Daphnia pulex: one gene and its partner. The protein of the gene in region 1 interacts with the protein of each later gene in a pairwise test. Links are inferred from orthologs where the notes say so. Each region holds a gene or a part of one and is shown on either strand. Other genes may lie near its edges.

What was found.
Region 2: the proteins of protein lin-7 homolog C-like (region 1) and MAGUK p55 subfamily member 7-like interact in a two-hybrid assay, tested with the Drosophila melanogaster proteins (2 studies listed by BioGRID). The link is inferred for Daphnia pulex from reciprocal best matches to the Drosophila melanogaster genes veli and metro.

The regions. Positions count from the first base shown.
Region 1 is NC_060028.1:9,842,989-9,846,342, reverse strand, and holds protein lin-7 homolog C-like, read right to left. Parts: upstream 1,907-3,354; 5' UTR 1,758-1,906; coding exon 1,715-1,757; intron 1,639-1,714; coding exon 1,597-1,638; intron 1,534-1,596; coding exon 1,285-1,533; intron 1,193-1,284; coding exon 1,083-1,192; intron 1,021-1,082; coding exon 865-1,020; 3' UTR 505-864; downstream 1-504. Other genes in the region: T-complex protein 1 subunit zeta-like, read left to right, coding at 1-217, 277-346.
Region 2 is NC_060027.1:1,671,149-1,675,075, reverse strand, and holds the start of MAGUK p55 subfamily member 7-like, read right to left. Parts: upstream 2,577-3,927; 5' UTR 2,410-2,576; coding exon 2,388-2,409; intron 2,314-2,387; coding exon 1,985-2,313; intron 1,907-1,984; coding exon 1,772-1,906; intron 1,680-1,771; coding exon 1,656-1,679; intron 1,532-1,655; coding exon 1,364-1,531; intron 1,276-1,363; coding exon 1,153-1,275; intron 1,041-1,152; coding exon 967-1,040; intron 903-966; coding exon 778-902; intron 203-777; coding exon 1-202. Other genes in the region: uncharacterized RNA-binding protein C365.04c-like, read left to right, coding at 2,966-3,610, 3,669-3,875.

The DNA of each region.
Region 1 (3,354 bases):
GTGTTCAAGCATATGCTGATGCCATGCTGGTCATTCCGAAAGTGTTGGCACAAAACGCTGGATTTGACCCTCAAGACTCTATTGTCAAAATGCAACAAGAGTTTGTTGAAGGTGGACCCCTTATTGGTCTTGATCTACAATCGGGCGAGCCGATGATTCCAGCAGATTTAGGAATCTATGATAACTATCGTGTTAAGAAACAGATTCTCCATTCTTGGTAAGTTTCAAAATTATTGTTGATGTTACCAACTTATTTATTTATTTTTATTTTTTTAGCACGGTCATCGCTAGCAATCTGCTTTTGGTAGATGAGATTATGCGTGCTGGTTTGTCCTCATTGAAGTAAATGGCCGTGCCTCAAGGTCCACCGAGTTCCTGAGCAGCAATGGATGACTTTTTTCTAATCAATCTGCTTGAATTCTAATTTCGTTCCGGCTTACCATTTTCGTCCGCTTGAGAAACTAATGTTATTACAATTTGCTAATCACTACTAAAACAGCATTGTTTGATTCCGAAGTTATATTCATTTCAACAAATAAGTCTACAGATCAGTTAACATCAGGTTTTAGCTTAGTTAATGGTTTCATTTAAGAAAAGGTTGCTACTATTTCTTCCATTTTGCAACTTGTGTTCAAAATAAGCAAAAAAACAATTGCAAGGACGAATGAAGGTTTCTCTACATTCATGAGTGATAACGTGTAACCGTCTTTGTCATAGAATTTAACTATGAAATATTTAGCTACACAATATTGAATATTTTTGTAACAGTCAGGATGGGGAATTGGTTACACTATTGATAATACGAGGAGTCAAAATTTGCGATGGGGACGATGATGCTCCTAATTGAGATTTGTTAAAGTGAACTTAGTACGGTTGTCTTCGGCGCGTGGTCCTTTGTTTATCAAAGCGCATTTCCATTTCTTCCAATATTTTTGGTGTGTAACGCACAACTAGTTTCACTGAACCGTGAGCAGCTTTCAGGAGTTCCACAGCTTTCTCGTGATTTTCACCCTCTACCGACTAAAAAAAAAATTAACAGTCAGAGAAAACTTAAATGGAAGAAGTAAGTTTATCAATTTTACCACTCCATTAACAGAGAGCAATTGGTCACCACGCTTTAGACCACCATGTCTGTCTGCAACACCTCCAGGAATGATTCTTGATATGTAAATTGGTGAATTTTGTTCCCTTCCTACAAACATTCATTTGGTAATTATAAAAATTAATTTTCACCATTGCATTCTCAAGGAAAGGATATGCATAAAAATGTATTTATTTTGTTACCTCCCATGACATTGAATCCAAGACCTTCATCAGTTTTGGGGAGTTCTACGACTCGAGGATGGGCATGGCCTTCACTAGCAGCAAAAGCTGCAATTGTAGCTTTGGCTGTGGCAGAAGCTCGGACATCAGGTGATCCTCCCATTTCTACTGTCTCATAAACATGTTCGTAAACTTCTCTGACAGCTCTTAGAAAGTCACTCTGCAGCACCTTGTGAAGAGCAGACAGTTTTGCCGTTGGAACTTCTCCACCTAGTTTTGATTAGAAATTATTATGACCTAGTGCTCTTGATAACTGATATTTTAAAGATTTACTTTTCATCAACTTCTCCAGCAATTCCACAGCTCGGTTTATATCTAGAAGATAAATTTTAAGGGATTAATAAGAGCGTTCCACGACAGCTAGTTGCCTTCAGAAGTAAATGCCGTTTACCTTTGTCGAGAGACAATTGTTCACTTATAGTAGTAGCTGCCATAGTTTATATCAAGAAGTAGAGGTTTGCAATGAGAAAAACTTCAATAAATGTCAAAACTGGGTTAAAAAATGGAAGAATTTTCAGGGCAAAACACACGAACTTTCTGTCAATACATAGGCTCCGCCCTAAAACTGATTTGTCCGGCGATGGATCTGTTCTCCAACGCCCTCTTTAATTACAAAAAGTGTTATATCATAGTTTAAACCTGAAATGTACCGATATATTTTCGAATATTCAACGAGAAATTTTTAATTGTCTAATGTTTAAAAAAAACTGTATTTAAAAATTTCAGGTTAAATAGTAGCTGTATTTGCCGTACCCCGTAATGCTCGGCCAGCCAGAAGCGGTTTCCTCTAGACTAGAAGGTAATCAATAGCATGTGCCATACCCTCTCCAATCCCTCTCCCCGCACCCTTATACCAAGTTCCGCTTACATCTGACTATTCCAAAAGTAGCATCACTTTGTTAGGGTGCTGATGACAGTCCCCCAGATTTATCGAATCGTTTTTCTTTTTCTGCTTTAGCATAAACTTGTTGTCGCTTATTTAACAGTAGAAAACTGATGGAATAGTCAGGCATTGGTACCAGGGTCTTTTGACGTTTCTATTAGGATTTAAACTACTATTGCAATTAAGTATTTTAAAAAATTTCAATGATATACCGATTACGTATTCAGAATGAAAGGATGATACAGAAACATGTCTAAGCACAAGGTCAAAATGAAGAAAACAAATGTGTTTGGGTGTGTCAGTAGGAGTCAGATTGCTAATGTTTTGAAATAGAGTTGTAGTCTGATTTTCATGGAAGTCGATTTAAACTAATCAATTTTTGTCTGATGTGTAGTACTCATCCTCACAAGAGGGGAAGTGGTGGAGGAGGAATTGGCCTAGATTTTTGGTGATGAAATGAGGTCCGAATATCCATTACCCTGTTTCATGTTTTTGAATGTCAAAGTAACGCAACAACTCCAGATTTGCGAATTTTGTTTACGCTTTAATAGGTCAAATGTTGAATTATGACCTAGATGTCTGCCGCATTTGATAGGAGAACACAAGTATCGAAGAGCGGATGAGTGCGTTCGGGACAGAGGACGACGAAAAACAAAACATAAAAAAAAAAGTATTCAGACAAGTTGCCGAGAGATTGATATGGTAATTCACTTGAAAGACGACGGCTGAGTCAACAAATGCTGTGAGCGTCGCGCCGCCCGCTCTTTGGCCGCCCGCCGGGATAGACGAAGAACGCGCCTAGTGCGGACAGGACAGGAGGTACAAATAGCAGTCGGTGTCGATATTAGCTGGCATCGTGTTCTCTTGAACGAGCGAGGTTTAGTCAAGAAAAAGTTACTACACTTAATCTTAACAGTTCTTATCCAGACTATTCATCATCATGAAATCAACCAAAGTTATCACGCTGTTGCTGATTGCATCTTTCGCCATGGTAACGTCAATTACTTTGATTTTTTTCAATTTTCTTAATTTACAGGAATCTCCATATTTCTTTGTGGTTAAAAATAGCAAAAGCTAGGCCCAAGTATATTCATTTCCTTTCGTCATTTGGAATTCAGTCTTGTGTCATTCTGCTTATAAAATGCAAC
Region 2 (3,927 bases), on another chromosome or scaffold:
CGGCCAACACCTGGGGGACCGATGAGAACGATGGGCCGGGGAACGGCCGGGTACGGCATCAGACGGGCCACTTCCTCGTAAGTGACAATCTCTTGCCGGTCGAAATCTTCGTTCTCTGCCAGAGCGTACATGACTTTTTGAGTGGGACTGCTCCTTTCACTTTTCAAGGAGCCCATCGAGCGGGCCGGACTGCAACCCTTTTCTTTTGGTTTCATTTTTCATTTTTCATTTTTTGGTAGGGGGTCAAAACAGGGTACGGAAGCATCAGCCAAATAACCGAAATAAACACACGGACAAAAGAATAGACGGATCATAAGCAAAAGGGATGAGAATCAAATAGAATCGATCAAGCGTCAACATCAGCCAACCCGCAAACCGAAATCAAACAAACAGAGTCTCTCTAACGTCTAAATCTCTGGTTAAACAAGGAGATTTATCGATTTTTCTTGGATCCCAAACATCAAAGGTATTGATTTCTATTGGATGAGAAGAGCAAAGGGGGAGCGAGCCGACATCAATAAAACTGTTATGATGGCAAACGTAAAAAGAGAAAAAGAGGTCGGTCGAATTCAATAATCAAACAACTGGCTGGTCCTTCTTTTATGGGTGGGTCTACAACTATTCAAATGGTCGAAATGGGCACACAAAAAGTTTGGCAAACGGTCACAATCCTCTTAACTATTTCGTGCACCAGGCCAAATCTTTTTCATAAGACTTTTGTCCTATTTTCATTTAAAAAGAAATCGATAACCATCGCAATGAATAAAAGAGACTCACCTTGCTGATCGGCGTTATTATTAGCCGAGTGGGCCCGTTCGTAAGCGATGCGTTTCTCTTGCAACATTCGGCTGGGAATTAATCCCGCACGCATCTGTTTATCGCCTTCATGTCTCGCCTGCCACCTATTCAACCAAATGATTTATTTTGTCAATTGTCTATATGATAAAACAAAGTTAAAGCCTTTACCAGTAAGGATCGTCCTGACTAACGATATGAATAATATCTCCTCTTCGGAAATCCAGTCCGGCTTCCTTGCACGGCTTCACGGAAGTATACAGACAAAGACAAAAAAAAATGATTGTGCAACAACCACGGCGGCAATTCAAAGCCACAAAGATAATATAATTGATTTATTCGATGCCCAAAACTTACAATGTATCGATCGAGGGCAGCCGTGAAATCAAAAAGCGCTCGAACTCGTACGCGGTTCTCCCTCGACGGCCTTTGACTTTCGCTCGGGATTAATTTGAATGTGATGGTTCCTTCGGCGTTTTGCTGCCAGAAAAAGAGAATCGGAAGGAATTGAAAAGTTATCGAAAAACGCACGAGCCAAAAACTGATGGGGGATCGATCGATAACTTACGAGAATCTCGAGGACATCGTTGGGCGTTTTGCCCAATACATCGATGCCGTTGACCTCGACGACCTCGTCACCGGGATGGATTAATCCCGACCGATCGGCAGCACCGCCATGCATCACACGAGCGATGACAATCTTCCCCGTCCGCTCGTCCGTCTTGATCGTCGCTCCCTATATTGCCACAATCGATTTCAATAAATTTTTTAAAATTTCCAATCATTTCTTTCACGATCAATTGAAGACTGTCGCATTGAAGGATTGCGCTAGTTACAGACACGGAAAAGATGCTACTTACCACTATAGGCTCAGCAGTTTGAGCCTTTTCCAGAATAAGCATTAGGAAAGATAATTGTTCATAACATTATGGAATTGAATTAAACTAGAGTGAAGATGAATGGGAAATAGATTTACCAATGGTTCATTGCTTTTGACCAGCTGAACAATCTTGATAGTCTCTTCGTCTTCATCAACAGTGTCAAATGGAGGTTCAGGTAATTTGGGAACATAATCTTTCTGAGATATGGTATCATGGACCAACAGGAGACTCTGAAATATTTAATAAAAATAGCAATAATTTACTGAAAAACCAAAATACAAAAGCTAGACTTGTTTTAGTGCACATACTTGGAAAGCTGGGCGTTGGAGCAGCAAGATGAGCTCCCGGGAATCCCTGCTTCCACTGCGCTGCACAAAGCTCTGAAGGATTTCAATCACTTCACAAGAGATGTTGAACACATTTGAGACGATGGGAACAATCATCTCTGGCTCGTATTCCAGACCACCATTGGTGTCTGAGGCAGAGTTGGGCTTGCCCACTATAGCACTGATTTTCTTGTGCACCCGAAGCAAGTTTGTCATTCCTTTGGAAGTCAAAACCTGGCTGAGGAAGTTTATGTCTTGGAAATCATCGCCGCCTCGAGTCTGGTGCAGTGTAGCCAGCAGTCTCGACAAATCTATAAGCAAATGAGGTTAATTATGTGCAAAGAGCTATAAACAGGCAGAGCTAAGGAGAAATGTTGCAGCTTACCTTCACTAGGGAGGGACGTCATTTTCACAACGACAAGCTCACGCACAATTGTATCCAATGTATTGCAAATTTACTTTAATGGTCCATCAATACACGGGGAAAAACAAACAAATCCGGTCAAAATATCCTTCAGGCTTCCCTCCCCTCTCAATCCCCGAATTGACAGGCCAAAACTCAATGGCTGAATTGTGCTTGCCGTTTTCACGCAATAAAATTTACTTTCTCTTGAAATATTTTCAAACAATATCATTATTTATTTTTTAAATATTTAAATTGCACTACGTCTAAATTTGGTTGATAAAAACATATAAAAATAAAATGAAAGAAACTTGACAGCGGTCTCTTCAAAGTCGATTCACAATAATCGATAGTACTTCATTTCTCAACCACGCGTATTTTCGTTCTCTTTTAAAGTGTATTGACAATTTTTGGTAACAAATCAAATTTAACTCAATTCTGGTAATAAATAAAGGTTTTTATAGTATTTTGTTACACTTGTTTATAATACGTATATTAACTCTCCCAGATCCCTGCATCTGTCTGTGCAACAGTAAAACCGAAAAATATTCAAGGTCAACATGAGCAAGGCGCAGAAATTCGCTCAAAACAATGCTACAGAGTGGAAAGCTAGAGGATTCAAAAACTCGAATGCTTCAACCACAGAAAGTGCTGGATCCTCGTTTGATGGCTATGGCGGTCAAGAACGTGGAAGGTTTCAAAACAGTTTCGGGTTCAAAGCAGATTCCAGTAGAGGTGCAAAATCTACCTATAATTCTCGCAATTCAAGACAACAAATAGAATATGCTGAAGAAGGTGAAGATAATCAAATTTTAAATAGCCCTATTCAGAAAAAGAAATTTAAGACGAATGAAAAAAGTGATGAGCCATCCACTCATCAAGATTCTTCTGCTTCTCAGCCAATTGAAGGTTCACCCGAAACACCTGTAAAGCCTCCGAAAAAGAAAAAAAAGAAAAATGTAGTTGGAGGTGAAACAACTGGTGATGCTGAGGCTACTGAAGAATCTGGCAAAAGAAAGAAACAGAAATTTCAAGGCTACACCCTATTTATTGGTAATTTGTCATACGACACTACAAAAGAAGATATCCTCCGTCATTTCGCCAAATGTGGGCCTATCAAGAATGTCCGGATTCCGCTGGAAAAGGAAACCAATCAGCCCAGAGGATTTGGTTATATTGAAGTTGAAGAGCACGTTACCTACGAGGTATCTGTCTAATTCTTCCGTTATGGTAAAGCTAAGCTAATTTTTTTTTTTCATTTAGAATGTTTTGAGTATGCACCACACCTTCCTCGCTCGAAGACGAATCAATGTCGAATGTACCTTTGGCGGCAGCAAAACTAGTCAGAAAAGAATGGCCCTGATTAAGGAAAAGACACTAAAGCTGAGGTTCCTCTCGAGAGAAGGCAAAATTAGTTCGGCCAAGCAGCGACCATGGGGGAAATTTTCTCAAAATCAATCCTTTGGTTAATAAGACTTTAAAAAGGTAACATTTCTTTTGTTACCAGAACTTCCTTTTTTTC